Diceros bicornis minor: one gene and its partners. The protein of the gene in region 1 interacts with the protein of each later gene in a biochemical or structural test. Links are inferred from orthologs where the notes say so. Each region holds a gene or a part of one and is shown on either strand. Other genes may lie near its edges.

Region 1 (7,013 bases):
GCGGCTGGGCGTGCCCGGGGATAGCAGGAACCGGGGTGAGAGGATGGAGGCGGCAGAGTAGACTGGATAAGAGCCCCTCCCCGCCCCCCCCCACGCTGGGCACCGCCCCTCCACGCAGCGCACAAAGAGCCAGGGAGACGCAGAAAGGAGCCGCTGCAGCAGTCGACCACCTCCCGCCCCCCGCCACGTGACTGCGGCGCACGCGCACGCCGAGCAGCCAACAAAGAGGCGCCGAGCGTGGGCGGGGCCGAGGCGCGAATTCCGCGCGCCAGGGGCGGGGCTCGGCTCGGGCTCGCGCGCCCCCGGCCGGCCCTCAGGGCCGCATTGTCCCGGCGCGCCAAGGGGCGCCCGGGCCCCGCCCTTCTGCTACAACGTAGCAGCCGCACTTCCTCCCGCCCCTCCCCCGCTACACTGTAACCGCGCGCAAAAGAAAAAAAAAATCCCCCCTTGGCCTCGAATTTTATTCCTTCGCTTTTCCCCCCTTGCTTTAAATGAGGATCACCTTCCTTTCTCCCATCCTTTAGTCGTAAGGGACCCTTTAAAGAAAACGACCCCCTCCTTTTCTCCCGCCCTCTTTCTCATCTGTTCACTCCCTAAAAGGGTCTCTTTTAAGGGGAAATCAAAGAAAGTAAAATTAATCAAGCACATGTTAGCCTTCCATCCACGAAAAACTACCGGACCGCCCCTCGGGGATCGCGGGCGCGCGGAGAGCCCCGATCTTTTGTGAATGGTAACGCGTAGTGCAACCCAGTGGCCCACCGCGTCCCCCACCTTGGGATCCCAGCTCTCTGCAGCTGCCCGCCCAGCCTCGTCCCTTCCTCCTCCGGCTTAGCCACATAAAGCCCCGCCAAGGGAGATGCACCCGGGGAAAACCTCGCCTCGCTTTGTCTCGGACTGTTTCCGCATGTCCCTCCCTCCCCAGTCTTCAGACCGTTAGGAGATCCTCTTTAAGTAAAAGCTTGCAGAACCTCGGTCTTCCCGCCCCCTAAATCTGAAGGGTGCTTTTAATGGCTTCCCCAAAATGAGCCTGCCAAAAAAAAATCATTCCCCATTTTCTTAAGAGCAAATTCTAGCAACAAATGGGTATTATATATATAAAACTTTTTTTGGCAAAGCTTGGCTAAAGATGAAGAGTGCAAATGTCCTACAACCACTCTTTATCATTTGTCCGGGTTTTTTCCTTCGGAAAAAGAAATATAGTTAAAAGAGGTTTAAAATCCTTACCTTGGCACCGATCTGGTTGCCACATTGACCGGCCTGGATGTGCACGATTTCCCTCATGTTTAAAATTTATTTTAATTCTTTTCCTCGCCTCAAGGTGTGTACGGGGCAAGAAAACGATATGTGGGGTTTTTTTTCTCTGCTGCTGGCCGCAGGCTGGAAGGATGGGACGTGCCCCGGAGGCTGGAGCAGCGAGGTCCGAACGCGGCGGCAGGAAGGTTCTGAGAGGGAGAAAGGAGAGGGGAGGGCGCAGGAGGGAAGGCTGGCAGGGCGGGGCGCGCTTGCGCCGGGGTGGGAAGGCGGGAGAACGCGCTCCGCGCCGCGGTGGGGAGACAAAGCTTCATCGAGGCTGGCCCTGATTAGTCGATGCTGGTCATGTATCAGACGTCCATTGGTCTCTGCGCGAGTGGACGAACGCAGTCAGCTCTGGGAGTTGTAGTCCTCTATTGTTGTCCACGCTGCAAAATGAAGGGACGAATGGGTGGGTACCGGGTTTTTGGTTTTGGACTTTTTTTGTATTTTATGAAAAAATGACCTTGCGTACGATTTCTTTCCTCTATGCCTGAGTTTTTTGTACAAAAAGAGCGTCGTTTTCGGGGATACAGGATTTGGGACCCCTGGAGTGCCAGGCGTTGGAAGGAGTGGGCACGCCCTGAAAGCTCCCCGCGGCGGTAGCTCTTGGGAAGACAGGACTGCTTAGCTCAGCGAAAACTGGGGAGAAATGCGGCACCCTGCTCTGCTATCTAACAGCTGGTCCTTTGGTGACCCAAGGCATGAACTCCAGTAAGCCGCCGCTCCCCCAGATACTCAGGAAGAAGGAGGGGATTGCCCTCCTATTTCTTTGGGAGTTTTCTAATGATAATATTTTGAAAGAGAAACAAAATTGCAACAGGGGCTTTTCAGGATAGAGATGTAATTGTCCGGAGGTTACGTTCAGAGAATAAGTTGAATAGTTTAGAGAAGCTGATATCTGGGATCTGTGAAGCCAGAAGTTTCCTTCCGTGTAGGGGATCTGGGCCTTAGAGCAGCGTTGAAGACACTGTGGTCTTGTCAAACAGAACTATGGGGTGGGATGCCTGATAGAATTTCAGTGTCTTTCCAGCCTTTTTCAGTTCGCTGATTTCACTGACCAGCTGGCTGGCCACTGCAACCTTTCAAGAACCCCAGGATTGAACAAAAGGGGGATAGGGAGGGAGATGGATGGGAGAAAATTGGACGGGCTCAAGTCAGAGCCGCATGTTTCTTCTCAGGCATTAATTCATTTGATAGATACTAAGTGTCCACCAAACCAGGAGCTAGGGATACAAAAACGATTAAAAATTCTCTCCCTGGCCTACCAGGATCTTGCAGTTTCGTGAGAAGTGTATAAACAATGGAGTGTGGTAATACCATAATACAGGACATGTGATATCAAGGTCATCACTGATAATTCACATTGGATTCAACACACATTTCTCAGTCACCTAAATAAAAGAATATCAAGTTGTGTAAGACCCCTCTACCCACTCAAAATAAAATGTTTTATGTTTTAGGGCATGGTCACAATGAAAGTAGTTATTTTGTGGCAGTGGAGAGAGTTCAGAATTTAGAATGAGCGGACGTTTCAATTTCTCTACCTTACATTAGCTGTAGGAACCTAAGCAAGTCATTCACCTTCGCAGAGCTTCAATTCCCTCTGTAAAATCTACTTCTGCCTATTTGATTGCTGTGGTCAGGCTGAAGTGAGATAAAATGCAAAAGGACTTCCTAAATCATACACATGTCAAATTGTTACTATCCTCTTCTGTCTTAGTATGAGATGATGAAATAAATGGTTTTATCATTCTTCTTTAACCCCTTGAAAGACCTCGGTCAGCCTTTAAGATGGTTAGCAAAATAGTTCTTTCTGTTCGCCTAGGGATCTTTGCTTTAGGAAAATGACCTCAAAATGTCTATCAGGGATGTATTCTCAAGGAGGAAATGACATGACTTCTACTAAACAAGCCAAATCAAAAAGAAATGAACTTCCATTGCAATGAGGAGTCCTCAAGCGCCACGCCTACGGGCAGTTCTCCAAACTGCAGCCTCCGGCCACGACTGCAACCCGCAACCCGTTTTCACTTCTCATGAGTCAGCGGACACCATGTCTGGGAGGACTGAGGAAGGGCGCTCTGGCCGCACTAGACGCATCGGGCGACGACTATGGTAAGTCCCTCTATCCGCGCCGGCAACCAGACTCTGTGGTCGCGGTTTGGAAATCTGCGCGGGAAGTGGGCGGTGGGTGGTGAGGCGGTAGTGGGTTGTCCCTCGCAACTGCCCAATCGGAGTGCGCGATTCTGAGCGCGGAGGGCGGCCTCTGCTTACCGCCTCGCACAACGGATCTCAAGCCCCTGAGAGAAGCCGCCCCTTTGAGCGGTGAGGGGGCTGGGCGGGGATGGGGGCGGGGCTATGGATGTGCGTCCGCGTTGGATATTTGATCAATCGGCCTGCCGCAGGACTGTGAAAGACAGCGGCGGGAGCCAATCAGAGAATCGGCTCCCTCCGGGCGCGAGCAGTCGCGCCACCGGCCCGCGGCCGTTACTGGTGGCGCGCGCGGGGACTCAAAGTAGGTGAGTTCTGGGGGGCCTTGCCCACAGCTCCCCGGGTGCCATCTTGGTTCTCCTGGAGGGCGGGAGGGGCGTGCCTTGGGTGCGACTGGGCGGAGGAGATTTGGAAGTTTGCTTCTCGGATTATAATATTCATCTTTACTTGACGCCCCTCCCCGAGTTTAGGTATGAAGACACAGGGAGACGTTAGGCCAGGAGGGAACCCACTGGGATGGGGATCAAAGATGGTGGCCCATTGGATTGGAGCCAAGGGTCATGGGCACCCGCTGAGTTCGCCAGTCTTAATGACGGAGTTGGTACTATCTCCAAGGAGGCGTCCCACTTTCCCTTCCTGTCAACAGTTTCCCTCTAGGGTGGCATCTTGCTAAGTGAGTTCCGTCCCTGCTATTTTGAGTTTTCATCTTTCATTTGTTCTTTCATCAGGAGGGCAGGGTGAATTTTATGTTTCGTTCATGAATATATCCTGAATACTTCGAACGGTACCAGGTGCACAATGACTACTCTTGAAGGAATATGATGGACCCCAGGGGAAAAGACACTTCTGCTGGTCCAGTTCTCGAAGGGATGTGTGAAGGCAGAAAGGGAAAGTAACGGTTACAATATGGTGAGAAGTGTTAGGATAGTTTCAAGTCCTTTCACCATTGTGGAACACGTACGATACACCAGGAACACCAGAAAGCAGGCAAGACTCCAGGAAGGGCTTTGCTAAGGAAGTGACATTTGAACTGAATTGTAAAAGATGGGTAGGAGTTAGACCAGAAAACTAGGAGCAAAGGGCCAAGGAGCTGGATAAGGCATGCAGATGTGGGGGACAACAGGAACAGTGTGTTCAGAGAGTAGGGAGAAGATTCATGTGGTTGAACCATAGGCTTGAGGGGAGGCATACATTGCAGGACATGAAGTTCAGATCATAGAGGGTCTTGCTAAGGAGTTTAGATTTTATGTTATCCTGTGGGCATGGAAAGCCATCAAAGAATATTAAACAGGGGCTGGCCCGGTAGCATAGTGGTTAAGGTGCTCTACTTCGGTGGCCCTGGGTTTGTGGGTTCGGATCCCGGGTGCGGACATACGCACTGCTCATCAAGCCATGCTGTGGCAGGCGTCCCACAAATAAAATAGAGGAAGATTGGCACAGATGTTAGCTCAGGGACCATCTTCCTCAAGCATGAAGAGAAAGATTGGCAACAGATGTTAGCTCAGGGCCAATCTTCCTCACCAAAAAAATATGTGTATGTATTAAACAGGGGAGGGACATGTGGGTGATCTTGGGCATTTTCCTTAACCCATCTATGTTGCAGTTTCTTTATCTGAGAAATAGAAGTTAATAATAACACTTTGTAGGGTTCTTGTGATGATTAAATGAGTCAGTCCATGCAAAGTAACTAGAACAGTGCTTGACACGTAGCAAGCATCTATATATGTCAGCTATTATGATTCTTTGCAGTTAGTCTGATCACACTGAGATGGTCTGGTAAAGGGTAAAAAGCATGGGCTTTGCAGCCAGAAGCACCTTTATTCCTGTCCTTTCCACTTACCTGCTGTTATCTGCAGCAAATTACTTAATATTTTAGCCTTAGATTCCTAAATGCCTGCCTCATATCATTACCATGCCTGACACGTAACACCATGCCTGACAGATAGTTGATGCTTGGCAAAAGTTAGCTCCCTTTAAAATGGTGTATTTCAAACTATGGGTTGCAACCCAATAGTGGATAGTGAAATCAATTTAGTGGGTTGCAAATCAGCATTTGAAAAATAGAGAATAGGGCTGGCCCCGTGGCGTAGCAGGTAAGTGTGCTGGCTCTGCTTCTGGCGGCCCAGGTTCGGATCTCAGGCACACACCAACGCACCGCTTGTCAGGCCATGCTGTGGCGGCGTCCCATATAAAGTGGAGGAAGATAGGCACAGATGTTAGCCCAGGGCCAGTCTTCCTCAGCAAAAACAGGAGGATTGGCATGGATGTTAGCTCAGGGCTGATCTTCCTCACACACAAAAAACAAAAAATTAAAAAAATTAAAAATAGAGAACAGAAAAAAATAGAATGAAGCTATCAGTGTGTTGTATATAGTAAGGCTAGGCAGTTTTTCTCAAAACATTTGTCTGTATAAATAAGCACGTGTGTTTGTATATATTTGGGACCTTATGATATTTATTTCTTATTCTGTATCGTGGTCAAAAATATTTTTTAAATGCTTCAGAAAGATAACCACGGAATGATCGGCGGAAAGAGAAGCATGAACCTCCATAACTATCCAGGTTTACCCCGGTTATCAGTCTTCTCTCTGAGGCTGTGTGTGTGAACCAATAATAGAGATGATGATGTGTTTCCTTCCCAGATTATGGAGGACACTCAGGCTATTGACTGGGAGGCTGAAGAAGAGGAGGAGACAGAGAGACCCAGTGAATCCTTGGGGTGTAACTTGGCGCCCGTAGGGCGACTGCATATCTTCAGTAGTGCCTATGGACCAGAAAAAGGTCAGAGGGTATTGGATGCTGAAGTACTGGTATAGGCCTCTTATTTTTGTAAGGAAGTAGTAGGAGGTTTGCAGGAGGCTTATATATGTTTCAAGGAGATGTGAAAAAATTCTTTTACTGGCAATGGAGAACAGGGGGCTGATTGAGTTAATTGCTCCAGGCAAGTGCCCTGGACTCACCGGAGGTGATTTTACTTTGCTAGAAAATTAAGAGATTCAAATAAAAATCCAGTGTGGTCTGGAAATGGATGGTAGTGATGGTTGCACAACAATGTGAATATACTTAATGCCACTGAACTGTACACTTAGAAATGGTTAGGGCCAGCCCCGTGGCGTAGCGGTTAAGTGCGCAGGCTCAGCTGCTGGCTGCCCGGGTTTGGATCCCGGGCGCGCACCATTGCACCGCTTGTCAGGCCATGCTGTGGCGGCGTCCCATGTAAAGTGGAGGAAGATAGGCACAGATGTTAGCCCAGGGCCAGTCTTCCTCAGCAAAAACAGGAGGATTGGCATGGATGTTAGCTCAGGGCTGATCTTCCTCACAAAAAAAAAAAAAAAAAAGAAATGGTTAAAATGGTAAACCTTATGTATATTTTATCACAATAGAAAAAAATCCCGTGTGGAGGATGAGGTATTGACTATGAATAATATGTTACATATATTCTTCAATATCTAGATGTCCTGGGGCCTTTTATTTGTCTAATGCATGTGGGGACCTTGTGTGAGTAGTGGGGTA
Region 2 (7,480 bases), on another chromosome or scaffold:
GGGAAACTATGTGAGCCAGGGTAGAATATCCCTCCAAGGGGCTTGCAAACAAGAGTCTTTGTACACCAACTCCTGTCAGTCACTGAGGGTTTTTTCCATGGGTCATAAGTCCTCTTGCCCTTTGGTCTACTGTGTAGGTGGCAAAGCAGACTCCTGGTGTCAGAAAATGCCTTCATGCAAAGAAACACAGGTGCTGGCAGTTGGAAGTTTCCTAACGTGTTTAAGAGTGGGAAGGTAGAGGGGATATGTGTGGGAAACTAAGGGTCTGCTACACGGTCTCTACCAGAATCCACCTTATGGTCCAGTGACATATGGACTAAAAACACAGGCTGCTGCCCACCCCTACTCCTGCCCAACTGCACACCTGATATACAATGGCGGCACAAGGACAGAATAACTACAATAAAACCCTTTCAGAAAGGAGAGGAGGGGAGACCCATAGCCATTGCTCGTCAGTACAAACCCTGAAGTCCTACTGGGCAGGCATCGGGTGGCTCCTCTGCCTGATTAGATTCAGATTCTGTTCTCTGAAAGTAGCTCCATTGCTCATTGCTCTCCGAGGTCCCTGGCACCTCTCTCTAGGAGGTTCTTCCTTTTCCATTATCCTCTGTCTCCATGTCTAGACAGGGTATGGAGGAGTCTGTTCTCCTTGGGGGCTGTATGACATTTCACCCACTTCTGACTATGCAAGCTTGAAGATTGTATCAAAGTTTGAACACTCCAGACTTCTGGTTTCTTTCATAGAGCAATTGTCTCAAAACTCCAGTAACCTTCAGATCTATTCGCTTCCAGTCAGTTTCATGTGGTAGTCGTCAACCTCTCACATATAAGACAAGGTCAAGGGCAAGGCCTGACTGATTAGACTGGTGAAGATACATGAGACACTTTTAGATTTAGATCGCTTGTTACTTCTATAGATAGCAAAAAGGAAGAAGAAGCCAAAGGTGCCAGCTCCCAGGGTCCTTGTCCCAGATACCAAAAAAGATGACACTGAAACAAAACAGGCTGTTGTGGGAAGCCCCATTGCTGAGGAGCCAAAACTAGACAGCAGCTAAGTGGTTTCATATTCTGCAGCTCTATTCTGAGGGGAGTGGTGCAGAAAGCCCGATACCTCATCAGAATCTGGGAGGCGATGAGAAACTGATGACAGCCTCCGAGGGGAGGCAGGAAGATGAGTGGGAGGTGGCCTCATAGCTAGCATCTCCTTAAAGGACCCCACTCTCTTGTGTTCCAATAGGATCACAAGGTGTTTGACTGAGGCTCAGACATGCTGCAATTCCAACCTCTGCCTACACGGATATGTGCAAGGCTGCCAGGAAGCCATGGCAGAGCTGTTCCCCTACGGTAGTAGCCACACACACAGTTCTCTCCTAGACTAATTTTCAAGACTAATTTGCTATCCTTGGCCCCATCCCTCTCTCTCTCTCAATTGATGGTGCCTACCCAGCTTGGGTGGGAGGGCCATATTCTTAACTAGATCTTTTCTACATGGATGGGTTGTAATAGACATTTGTTGCTCAAAATCTCTCTCAGACTGATCTGTTGTTTTTAGGGTCTAGATGCAGCCAGCTTTTCTAACCTTGCAAAATGCCATATTTTTGGATTTTTAAATTCCCTTTTATCTTTCGCTTGCAAACAAGCTCATTCTTCCCTGAGCTAGGCTTTCTTATAATACTGAATTAAACGCAGCCAGTAGCAACCAATATGTGCCACTTACATTCTATTTTGCCTCCTCTTCCCTGCACCTCAGAAGACTCAGTATGCCTATGTTCTATCTTCCAGGTTACTGAAGATGACAGTTTAAACAAATGTTTTGCACTGCAAAGACTATTTCTGCAGCAATAAAGATCATTTACTAATTTCATTTTTAAACTATACATCCCTTTATACATATTTATTCATTTACAGCTCTGGAAACTTAAATATAAAATCCTCAAAAATCTATTTTTAGTTTAGTTTTTAATTTTGATAAGTCTTCTCTATGTAGCAAAATATAACAGAAATAAATACTTATATTACCACCACCCATATTTTAAAAGTAACTATTTTGTGATATTTGTTTCCTGTGTTTTTTCATTCTACAAACAGATAAAGTTCCTTTTAATCCTACTCCAAGCAGGGTCTGGAGTGTTTGGTTCCAGGTGGCAGAAGTGCCAAATATTCAGGGAGGTGATCCTAAATGCCAGAGAGGTGAGGGGAAAGTTAATCCCTGAACCCCATTTTCTGAGCAGCTTCTTGACAGCACATCACAGTTATTCCTCATTTTTACCAAAATCTTCATGGACCACAACCCACGTAACCACTCTCACCCTTTCCTAAAGGACTGCGGGTCAAGTAAACCTTAATGTGCAGGAGAATCAGTTAGAGGGCTTGTTAAAACACAGGGCAGTGGCGCCACCCTCAGAGTTTCCGACTCAGTAGATCTGGGATGGGGCCCAAGAACTTTCATTTCTAACAAGTTCTCAGGTGATGCTGATGCAGCTGGTCCAGGCACTACACTGGATGGAGAACCACTGTTCTAGCTAATGCCCAAGATTAGGTACTTCGGGGACAGACACAGACTCTCTCTGCCTATGTGGAGACACAGATGGGAGAACCTGTCACCTGGTCTCCCATTCTAAAGATGAGGTCGACTCCTCTGCTATTCAAATCCAGCTGCTAAAAGCTATACGGTTGTGGGGCCGGCCCCGTGGCGTAGTGGTTAAGTGCGCACGCTCCACTGCTGGCGGCCCGGGTTCGGATCCCGGGTGTGCACCGATGCACCGCTTGTAAGGCCATGCTGTGGCGACGTCCCATATAAAGTAGAGGAAGATGGGCACGGATGTTAGCCCAGGGCCAGTCTTCCTCAGCAAAAAGAGGAGGATTGGCATGGATGTTAGATCAGGGCTGATCTTCCTCAACAACAACAAAAAAAGCTAAAGGTTGATTTCATCATCCTCCTCCTCTTCATTAGCAGCATCTCTGACTCTCCTACTCTCAAGAGACCTCTCCTCAGCCCCAGAAATGTCAGGAATGGGCTCCTGCCCCAGTGCTGACCGAGCAGAGATGGGCAGGAGCAGGTAACAAGGAGCAGTGTGGTGTCAGGAAGGGCACGGGGTTCCAGTCACGCCGCCTCTTGTCACTTCCCGGCTATGTGGCCCTGGGCAAGTCACACAGTCCCTGAGCCTACTTTCCCCATCTGCATAGCACGGGACAGTGATGCCCACATACTAGAGAGTGCTGAGTAAACGGGAATAGTGCAAGCAGGAGTCCTTTGTCAACTGTAAAGCACCCTACAAATAGTAGTTACTATTACAGCTTCACGATAAATTCGCTCCTTTACAATTAACTGTGGCATCGTCTTGTTTTTTTTACAACTTTATTTCTAAGCCTTTCCTCACCTTCTCCCCAACAACAGGCCTTTCGAGTTCCAGAGTTACTGATCTGACTCACCTTCCACGGGTGTACTCACACACTTAGACCCAAGCTGCTCATTGCCATCTGTAGGAACTAGAAAGAAAAATAAAAACAATCGAGGTACATCGCCTTAAGCTCTCACATCACTCAATCCAGAGTCATGCGCTTCTCAATCTCAAGAGTCAAAAATAAAATGAGAAGAAACACTAACTAAGCAGTTTGTCATCGGTCATCAACAAGCAAAAACTGCAGTCCCCTTTTACCTCCTCTCCCCCGATCTCTGCTATTTGAACATTAGGTTCCATCCCAGAATCTCCCCAACACTCAGGGGGAGCTACAGGGAAAGAAAATGAGAAGCTCATTGAAAGAGGCGGCATCTTGGTAAGGACCCCTTTGCACTAGGTGTGTAATTCAAGTCACCCTGACTTCTTTCTTCCCTTCAGGCCTCTTGGCTGTGGCAGCTGGTGATTATACTCCTGCTATATTGGAGGAGAAAGAACCCAGTCCGTGGAGTCAAAAAGAGGTGGATGCCATCTTAATTCTACCACTTACTGTGTGACCTGGGACACATCATTTGACTTCTCTAAGCCTCCGCTTTTACATCGGTAAAACGCTGTTTGCCTCATAGAGTTGCTCTGGATGATAACACATGGTCTCGCGCACTGCCTGGCATTCGGCAGGTGTAATAACTGAGGAAACCCTCTTCTCCCCCGGCTTTCTTTTTCCCTGCGTTGGGACCTCCTCTAAGGTACTCCTGGCCCGCGGCCCCGCCCCCTGAGCCGTGGGGCCTGGACCAATGCCCAGCGGAGCCCGGCCCGCCCTTCAACGCCCTGAGCCCCAGAGAACGCGGCCCAAGCCCCGGAGCAGCCCTCCGCCGGCTGGCACGGCACTCGCCGCCCTCACCACCTTTGCCATCCCCGGCCTCCTCCCGCAGCGGCGGTGGCGTCACTTCCGTCGGAAGAGGCGGGCACGTCCGCGCGTTGGCGCGAAAGTCGGTTCCCGGCCTCGGCTATTTCCGGGTTCTGCGCTTGCCTCGGGCCGCGGTCGCCGCCGGGGGCGGGGGTGCGCCGGGGGCGCGCCCGACCCCAGACGCCGTCCGGCGGGCCGCACTCCCGCCACCCGCCGCCCGAAGACCCCCAGGCTGCGGCGAGGTCAGTGCGGCCCGGAGCGGGACCCAGCTCCCTGCCACCACAATTGGGGGGCGCGACCCCTCCTCTGGCCCTCGGGGCACTGGTAACCGGCCCTCCGACCGGCGGGTGGGACTCGGGCGCCGGAGGGTTGTGGCTGCGGCTGGACCGAGAGCCAGGCCTCTCCCTGGGAGCTGGGGAGCCGGAGCGGCGGGCCTTTTAGGGGGCATGACCTTGCTAAGTGGCTTCCATGTTTATATTAATGTCCGTTTACCGAGGGTGGACAGGCTTCGAGGGCCGGGGAGACCCACAGGGACAGATTCGTTGTGTGTATCCTTAAGCCAAGTGCAATTGAATGTCCTTTGGCTTGGGGGCTTAGAGCCCCATAGCAAAGGCCCTCAGTGTATTCAATTTAGAGACATTAATTTCGTTCTCTGATTTGCAAAGATTGGTGTTTTCATCTTTTTCCTTGACTTTGCCCACGTTCCTGCGTTTCTTACAAACGTGGTGGACGAGTTCCTGTGCAAGGCCAGAATGTCTATCCTTAGGCATTCTTGTTTGCACAGAAGAATAGGTGCTTTAAACATGTCACTTCATATCTAATGTGTTGTCGTTCTTGTTAATGGCTCCTTTATTTTGACAGTTCAAAAATGTCCAGAAATGACAAAGAACCGTTTTTCGTGAAGTTTTTAAAGTCTTCAGACAATTCTGAATATTTTTTTAAAGCTCTTGAGGTAAGAATAGTTGGGAATGTCTTGTTTGATGCTGTGAATTCATCTTTTTTTTAGTGTTTTTTATTTATTGGGCTTTTTATTCTTAGTTTATTTTTATAATAGTTTTACTGTAGTCTACATTATTATAGCTACGTCATTGTTAACATATTTTTGAATTGATGTTAGTATATCATTATTATGTATTTTGGGGGACTTGAAATCTATTATGACATTTCTGTTGAAAGTGGCACGCCTGCTGTTCTTAAAAATTAAGTTGCTTTCTTTTGTCTACTACCCAGAGTAGACCTTCGTGTGTTGAAAAAATTTAAGTCAGTCATGTACTGGTTACACTTCATTTTCTGGTTGTTAAAAGTATGTTTCATTTTTTACAGTGTAATATGGAAGGCTGTAGGGTAGTGTAGAGCCTTGCTACTCACAGGCCTCAGCAGCATCCGCATGGCCTGAGAGTTTGTTAGAAATGCAGAATCTGGGGCCCCACCTCAGACTTAGCAATTTGAATCTGCATTTTGACAAGATCCTCAGTGTGATCCTCGGTGTACATTAAAGTTTAGGAAGTACTGTTGTAGCAGGTATTTCTTTAAAGTTCATTCATTCAGCAAGTAATTATTGAATGTCCGTGATCTGATAAGCGCTGTTCTAGTGCTTGGGATACATCAGTGATCAGAGCAGGCAAAGATCCATACTTTCTCAGAGCTTATGTTCTGTTCTAGCAAGAGGAAATAGACATTAATCAGACACGATAAATGAGTAGACTATATAGTATGTTACAAGGTGCTAAGTACTATGGGAAGAGAAAAGAGCAGAACAGGTTAAGGGGTTCTGGAGGATGTTTGTGGGGGCAGAAGGAAAAGGGAGAGAGTAATTTTAAATAGAGTGTGATCTGGATAGCGTTTATGGAGAAGATGATATTTGAGTACACTTGAAGGAGGTGAGATAGTTAGCCATGTGGATATCTAGGGAAGAAGGTTTCAGGCAGAGGGAACAACCATACACAAGCCCCTGGGAAAGTGCTTGGAGAGTCTGTCTGACGTAGTGTGGCTGTAGTGTAGTGAGCAACGGATGGGAGGAGAATATTAAGGGATGCTTCAAAGTATAAGAGTAAAGAGGCCATGTAGTCCATTGTAAGGACTTGGGCTTTTTCTTTCAGTGAGATGGAGAGCCACTGGAGGGTTTTAATCAGAGGGGTTACATGATCTGACTTAATTGTTTTAAAAAGATCATTCTAATTATTTAACATAAGGACTTCAAAATTTGTTCAGAAAACAGGTGCTTACTGAGTGCCAGGATGTGGTGGCAAACCCGCTAGACCATGAAACTGTCACTCTTATAAGTGAGAAAGGCAAACACTATTTACATAATATCAATGTTATTTTTCTTCATAAAATAGACTAGAGGGATAGGGAAAGGGTATTTCAGAAGGCATAATCAGGAAAGGCATCTCTGAGGAGGTGACATTTGAGCAGATCTGATTGAAATGAGGGACTAAGTCAGGGGAAGACCTGGGAGAGGAGTATTCCAGGCAGCAGGAGCAAGAGCAAAGCCTCTACCTGAGGTCATGCTTAGCTTGTTCCAGGCCTAGAAGAGAAGCAGGAGTGGCTAGAGAAGACTAAGCAAGAGGGATGAGCGAGTGACAGACGGTCAGGGTGGGGAGATAGGCAGGGCCCAGACTCTGTGGTCTGTAGGCCGTTGTCGGAATGTGGATTTCATTGAGTGTGGTGGGAAGCTATTGGAAGTTTTTGAGCAGAGAGTGACGTGACCTGATTACTAGCTGCTGTGTGGAAAACAGATTTAGGGCCAGGGAGAGAGAGGGAACCACTTCGGAGACGTCTGCAGAGGTCTAGGTGAGAGATGATGATAGCTTTCATAGGGAAAAGGCTGGATTTGAGATGGCGTTTGATGATAGAATTCGTAGAACTTAAATACAGGTGAATAATTTCAGGTGCATTCTTATTTCATTTTTCTTTCAGTCAATAAAAGAGTTCCAATCAGAAGAATATCTTCAGATTATTACAGAAGAAGAAGCATTGAAGATAAAGGAGAATGATCGATCACTTTATATCTGTGACCCTTTTAGTGGCATTGTCTTTGATCACCTCAAAAAGGTTTGCTAACTTTTAGTGTTTTCCTTCGGCAATCTGTTTTTTGGTTTGTTTTTGCTTCAGTGGATGTAAGTTCTTTACTGATCATGAAATATTACACATATTATGCATCCAGAGGAATCCT
Region 3 (7,013 bases), on another chromosome or scaffold:
CTATCTAATGACCTCTAAAATGATATTATGGGCCGGCTCCGTGGCTTAGCAGTTAAGTGTGCGCGCTCCGCTACTGGTGGCCCGGGGTTCGGATCCCGGGCACACACCGACGCACTGCTTCTCCGGCCATGCTGAGGCCGCGTCCCACATGCAGCAACTAGAAGGATGTGCAGCTGTGACATAGAACTATCTACTGGGGCTTTGGGGGGAAAAAAATAAATAAATAAATCTTTAAAAAAATATATGATTATTAATAAATAAATAAATAAATAAATAAATAAATAAATAAATAAAATGATATTATGTGAATAGTAACCACTTACCACACTGCTCATTATGGTGATTTTTATAAGGCTTGTTTACAACTTCATCCAACACTTCTAACTGTGAAGTCCTACCCCAGGAATAATTGATAAATCTATCAAAATATCACTGGTTTTTTAATCAGTTTCATCAGGTGAATTTTATAAACCTCCAAATTAGCACTGATTGAAGTCATTTAGGGTAGTGTGTCCTCTCCAAACAGTTATATTAAAAATAAAATAATCGACAGAATTTCTGCCTCATAATAGGAGAGATTTTTGAAATGACTCAAATATTAACTAACACTTTTCTATGAGAGATAATTTGGAGGAGGAGCTTATTCTTACCTTATCTCAGACTGGCTATTCCACACTAAAACGTTAAAGAAAATAAAAAGGCAGAGATCAGTTGCTCATTTTTTCTCTCAACTTTTTCCTATGCCTAGTAATACCATGAACCATGAGGCATCCCAAGAAAGAAAACAACTTTCCAACTTACTCTCATCCCTTTACAAATACATGCAATCACTTATTATAGTTAAAAAGAAAAACATATACAGTATCTTTATCTGTCCTAGTTTTCTTTTCTTTTTGTTTGGTCAGGGAAATTGGCCATCAGCTAACATCTGTGCCCATCTTCCTCTATTTCATATATGCGACGCCGCCACAGTATGGCTTGATGAGCGGTGCATAGGTCTGCAGCAGGGATCCGAACCTGCGAACCTCAGGCCACCAAAGCAGAGCGCCTGAACATAACCACTACGCCACAGGGCTAGTCCCCTATTTTTATTTTCTTCCTCACTAATTCTTTCCCATTTTCAGCACTATCTCTGGTCAGTTGATCTTTATCATCCTAGCCAAAATTGCTTGTTCTTCCCTCTGCTCCAGATCTCTTATTTCTTCTTATACTACCTCGTATCTTAAAACTTCTTACCACTGTTCCCAAATCTAATGGATAAAGGTAGTGTGAAAAAAAAAGATAAATTTGACATTTGAGCCTTAAAAATGCCTAAGTGCATTACTGCTAAGAGTACTTTAAGGAAAAGAGGAAACCTGGCAGGCACTATCTAGGAATAGGCTATGTATTTCTTTTCTTCTCCAAGCTCCTATACAAGTTGAAATTATTATTAAATAGTGGTTATAAGCTAGCAATGAAACTAGTTTATCATTTTAGAAGTCTTTTGGGGCCAAAGAAGGCAAACGTATCATTAATTATTAAGACAGAATTACAAGAATATGAAACAGAAATTAAACAACTTGAGTGATCTGCTTATCTATGTAAGAAGGTACAGACAGCAACTTCTAATTTCATGTTAAGCCTCAAAAAAAAAAAATCTTCAGAGACTCTTTACTAGTAAGAGGAATTTGGATGGAAAGAAATAGCTTTGGAAGCACTGGTACAACTTACAAACAGGTAAATTTCCTAAAATAGAATCCCACATTACATTAAATCAAACACTAATAGCTGCTACATGTAAAAAGCCGGGGAAGCAGCCAACTAGCAGAAACTGGTATTTCATCCTGTGAAGAAAAATTAAGGAAATATGGAAGAAGTGATGTACTAAAATATTTACTATTTGATATCACAGGCCTATTAAGGGTATATGAAATAATTTCTAAAATCAGTTTGCTTTATAACTTCAAAATAGAGAAAATCCATGAGTCAATGACAGCAGTTGACAGAGCTCAACTCTTCTAATCAAGTTCAAGATCCTAGGGTGGGTTGACAGTCTCCCAGACTTGGTTCATCACCAAGGGACAAAAGATTCAGTTTCTTCAGACGACAAGGGGAAAAATGACTTGGCACTGCCTCACACACTTCCTGGTGTGGTGAGGACAGTGAAGTGGATGGTAAAACCACTATTTGTCTTTCATTTCCTGAACGCCTTACAAACATGCACAATAAAACACTCCTGATCCCCACCACAGGTCATGGAAAAACCCAGATTTGCCGTTTCCACCCCCTCCCCTTGGATAGGTGCTTGCACCTCAGCACTGGGCCTTGGAGTTCTCTTCTCAGATCATTGTCCAGTGGGAAATTCACTGAGCGAGAAAAGCAACGTGGGCTTGCAAGTCTGTTACCAAAATAGAAATTAGTATTAAAAATACCGATCTACCCTCCCTCCGCCCTCTCACATAAAACAAAAACAAAACCAACCCCCTCCACCCCGCCAACTTGCCCCACCGTTATGAAGCCCGTACAAGCTCTGATCAAATGTGCTTCCCCACCATCCTTTAGGCACGAGAGCACCTGGGGCGAGTTTTCGGCCCCTCATCCCTCACCCCGGCCGGGGCCGGGCCCCTAGACTGACAGGAGGGCCCAGGTGGACGTTGGCTCGGAGGGGAAAGAAGCTATTATCGCCGAACCCCGCTCACACGAGGGGTAGAAGGGACGTAGGACCAGAGGTAACACGGCGTAGGCTACGGGCAAGGCCTCCGGACTGACGAGAGGATAGGCAGGACCCGGCATGGGGGGAGGCGGGAGAGGCAGCCGGGCCTAGGCCGCACCAGGCCGCGGAGTGGCCATACGCTGCTTCCCGACCGAGGCTGCGAGCCAAGCCTCAGAGAACGGGGTTCTCATTACCTGGACGGGTTCCTGCAGCACCGTCATCCTTGAGGCTCAGGCCCACTTTCTGCAGTGCCTCAGGCCCCCCCCGTAGCGGCTCGGCCCGGCCAGCCCCGGCTCATTTAAACTCACCAGCGACCGTTACCGGGGAATGGGGGAGGCCGAGAGACTGCCGAGTACCTCCGAGCGGGACACGGAAATACCCGAAGGGGAGAGATCCGCGCGGGCGCCAGACGGAAAAGCCCGAAGGAGGCCGGAAACACCCGAGGTGGGTCGACGGAGGAGGAGACCGTTGCCGGAAATTGTCGAGGATTACCGGAGACTACCGAGTCCTGTCCAGAGCGTAGGTTTCTTTTCTCGGCCCGCCTTCACTCACGCACGCCACGCCCAATAGGCCACCCTAGGCTGGGCCACGCCCAATCGGCTACCAGCAGGCTGGGCGTGGCGTGCCGGAGCGGGTGGGGAGCGTTACGTGGCTGTGCTGCCGTCTTGATTTCTGCTCAGCTTTTCTTGATTAATTGGTGCGCGGTAGATTAAGCAAAGGGTAAAACATGAGAGTTTGGGGCTGACTTTAATTAATCAAGAAGTATTTGTCTGTTGAGCTTAGGTCATTCATCCATTCCAGAAGTACCTATTCATGCCTCAAAGGGATATAGGAAATTTGGAAGGATTGCCACCCTCCAAAAATTTATTTGGTATTTGTCCTTAAAGAGATTACGGTCGATTTAAGGGAAAAGCAATGTAACTAAGAGTGCTATATTATGTGGTGCCCACTATAAGTGATGTAAAAATTCAGAGGGGAAGAAAATTAGTTGGGATTAAGATGAGGAAAGAAAAAGGGACACAAACTGGGCTTTGAAGGATGGGTAGAATTAGAAAAGAAAGGAGAGGGTAAGTGAAGGAAAGCAGAAATGAGATCAGTCTGATAAGAGTTAAGGTGTTAACTGGAAATAATTAGTTAGATGACCAGATCATGGAAAATCTCGGAAGGCAGGCAGAAATTTTTATAGGAGAGGCTTTGTGGTGTATTGAGAAATTCAGAGGCTTGATTTTGAATTTTCTCTCTTGCACTAACTAGTTTTAGATCCTTAGGCAAGTCACAACCTCTCTGAACTTCTATTTCCCTAGTATGAAAAAAGTGATGAAGAGAATTAAATGCATTAACCCTTGTGGTTGTGTCTAACACACATAGTAGGCTCTTTCAAATTTCTTTCCTGCTCCCTCTCCCCCAAAAATATGTGAACCAGGGAGCTATTAAAATTTTGTTTTTCTGTAGATGGGGAAAACAGTTTTGAAGGTTAATTTTCTGATCAGGACATCTCTAGGCTAGACGTTGGGTGTATATTCCATTGTGTGGCAATTTCCCTTTCTCATTCTCACATTTTATGCAGATAAAATCAGTTTGGAATGGGTCACTCCCTTCCTTTGGATGATGTGGAGGGAGGTCTTTTTTTTTTTTTTTTTTTTAATGCTAGTTGACAGAGCTACTATATTCTTCACCACCAGTCATCTCTAGTTACTGCTTATGCACTTGTAGCCCCATAAAGCGTAGGTGCTAAGGTGATTCTCTGCTGCCCTGTTCTTTTAGCAGAATTATGCTGGATGAATTGGAGTGGGAATAGTCTTCTACAATGACTGATATGGTAGCCACTGACTGTTTAAAGTTTAGTTAAAATCAAGTGAAATTAAAAATGAAGTTCTGGGGGTCGGCCTGGTGGTGTAGTGGTTAAGTTTGCGCACTCTGCTTTGGCGGCCTGGGGTTCATGGGTTTGGATCCCTGGCATGGACCTACACACTGCTCATCAAGCCACACTGTGGCAGTGTCCCACATACAAAATAGAGGAAGATGGGCACAGATGTTAGCTCAGGGACAATCTTCCTCAAGCAAAAAGAGGAAGATTGGCAACAGATGTTAGCTCAGGGCCAATCTTCCTCACCAAAAAAAAAAAAAAGTGAAGTTCTTCAGGAGCCCTGTCCATTCCAAAGACTCAGTAGACATATGTAGCTAATGACTTCCATAATGGATAGCACAGATACAGAATATTACCATCATTGGCTTTACTGGGGATGGAAGATCCAAGACGGCTTCACTCAGATGTTTTGGGCCTTGGTGCTACCTATTGGCTGAGCCCCTCGGTTCTCCTCCACGTGACCTCTCTCTCAGCCTTGGCCTCTCATCAATCGGTAGTCTAGCCCCAGCTTCTTGACTTGGTGGCTGGCAACCAAGCAGGCCAACACAAAAGCTGTGAGGTCCCTTAAGGCCTAGGCCTATAAGTCAAACTCCATCACTTCTTGTTGGTTCAAGTCAGATACAATGCCAGCTTGGATTCAGTGGGAGGAGAAATAGACTCCACCTCTAGATGGGAGGCTAGCAAAGTGATGCTGCACAAGGCATGTGCTGATGGGAAGGAGTGACTGCTGGGAAACTACCGGGTATGAGATGAGAGAATTTGGTAGTGGGAATGGGAAGAAAGCGATGGGTAAGAGATATTACTCTTAAAATTTGATGCTTTTAATTGAACACAACACTCCAGATTTATTCTAATTAATTCAGAATGCAGTAGGACTACTGCTTTTATTATCTGAGCACTTCTATTAAGTACACTAAAGTTTTACTTGCATTTTTTAGCAGTCACATGACACTGTTTGCTCATGCTAAGCTTGTGGTCTGCCGACCCAAGTCTTATATTTGCACAATGGATTCTTGTAAACTTAAATGTAGGAATTTACAACACGGGATACACAGAGATGATATTTTTTGTATGGAAATGTGTATCTGGAGTCAGCATTTAAAGAGTCTGTGGTGCTTGACATCTGACTTGTAAGCTTGGAATTTGCCTAAAGCCTTTTTTTTTTACCTGCTGAAAAAAGGCATCTCTTTTCTGACTGTTGTTCGCTGGGCTGATACATCTGTTGTGATTTTCTGCTCCTCCGCAGCAAGGCCACATTGTTTGAAGTTGTGCTTTAATGGGATCTTTTAGAGCATTTTTACTTCCTTCTCTGTTCCTGATTGACATACTTAAGCTCAACTCACCATCCAACAACCACTTGGGTACCCTGCTGTCATTCATTATCCACATATGTTTAGCTGGCGAGTGGAGTTAGGTTAGAGTAAGCATTATTCCAAACATGGTAAATTATCTCTTCTCCTTAGCCTGCCTCTTGTTCTGTTTCATGTTCAGTCAGATTTGGAGGCCAGCATTAGGGAACTACTCAAGAAGCTAGACATGGTATCAGTGCCCAGATGCAGGTCCCACTGAAACATAGCCCAGGAGAAGCTTACTCTTCTGAATTCCTTCAGTCCTCCTTGTCTGTATCCTTCTTTTGTCCCTGTTGCATGCTGCCTTTTATTCTTCTTTTGTTACTTGACCTTGAGACTTTTTTTCTCCTCTTTTTTTTTTTTGGTTCTCCGTCTTGGTCAAATCATCCCCTTCCTTTGGCTTCTCTGATCACACGGTCTCCTGGTTTTCCTCCTACTGCTCTGTTCTTTATCAGTTTCCTTTGCAGCCCCTCTAATGTTAGAACGCTTCAGGGATCTGTTGTAGGTCTTCTTCTGATCCTACACATTCTTCCCAGGAACACCCTTCCATTCTTGTGGCCTCAGTTTTTCATCCACAAATTGTTCCAAAATCTGTTTCTGCAGCCAGACTGCTTCTTAGAACTCCAGACCCAAGTGCCTAGCTGTGAACTGGATGTCTCTATCTGCGTGTCTCACAGGTGCTTTGTTCAGAATGGAGCTCCTCATTCCTCATACTTGAAATATTTCCTGTCCAAGTTTAAGGCATTGTCATCTTCTCCATTGCCCAACCAGAAACCACTCTCTTTCTTTAACATCTAGTCACAAAGCCCTACTAAGTTTACCTCCTAAATATACCTTCATGTCTCTTCTTGCCTCTAGTCTTACCTACCTCCAAAAGCAAGTCCGATCATGTGAGGACTCCTCTGCCTAAATATGCCCCCTCAACTCAGGATTTCCCACCGTTCTTAGGATATAGTCCAAACCCTTTAACTTGCCTTACAAGACCCTCTAAGGTCTAGTCCCTGCCTCCTTGTTTAGCCTTCTGTCATCTATCTCCCTCTTATACTCTACATTCCAGCAAAAGGGATCAGAATATGTCACTTTGGCATAAGGATTATTTTGAGCT

The links.
Region 2: the proteins of MDC1 (region 1) and TOPBP1 are reported together in a solved structure, tested with the Homo sapiens proteins (3 studies listed by BioGRID, with this or other methods). The link is inferred for Diceros bicornis minor from reciprocal best matches to the Homo sapiens genes MDC1 and TOPBP1.
Region 3: the proteins of MDC1 (region 1) and CDC27 form a complex in vitro, tested with the Homo sapiens proteins (2 studies listed by BioGRID). The link is inferred for Diceros bicornis minor from reciprocal best matches to the Homo sapiens genes MDC1 and CDC27.

The regions. Positions count from the first base shown.
Region 1 is NC_080753.1:34,401,523-34,408,535, forward strand, and holds the start of MDC1 (mediator of DNA damage checkpoint protein 1), read left to right. Parts: upstream 1-3,991; 5' UTR 3,992-4,407; coding exon 4,408-4,410; intron 4,411-6,142; coding exon 6,143-6,281; intron 6,282-7,013. Other genes in the region: TUBB (tubulin beta chain), read right to left, coding at 1,225-1,281. UniProt on the Homo sapiens protein: Histone reader protein required for checkpoint-mediated cell cycle arrest in response to DNA damage within both the S phase and G2/M phases of the cell cycle.
Region 2 is NC_080741.1:18,706,737-18,714,216, forward strand, and holds the start of TOPBP1 (DNA topoisomerase 2-binding protein 1), read left to right. Parts: upstream 1-4,457; 5' UTR 4,458-4,547; intron 4,548-5,166; 5' UTR 5,167-5,173; coding exon 5,174-5,257; intron 5,258-7,224; coding exon 7,225-7,359; intron 7,360-7,480. UniProt on the Homo sapiens protein: Scaffold protein that acts as a key protein-protein adapter in DNA replication and DNA repair. Composed of multiple BRCT domains, which specifically recognize and bind phosphorylated proteins, bringing proteins together into functional combinations.
Region 3 is NC_080757.1:44,865,206-44,872,218, forward strand, and holds the start of CDC27 (cell division cycle protein 27 homolog), read right to left. Parts: upstream 3,024-7,013; 5' UTR 2,914-3,023; coding exon 2,887-2,913; exon of another isoform or gene 2,575-2,886; intron 1-2,574. UniProt on the Homo sapiens protein: Component of the anaphase promoting complex/cyclosome (APC/C), a cell cycle-regulated E3 ubiquitin ligase that controls progression through mitosis and the G1 phase of the cell cycle.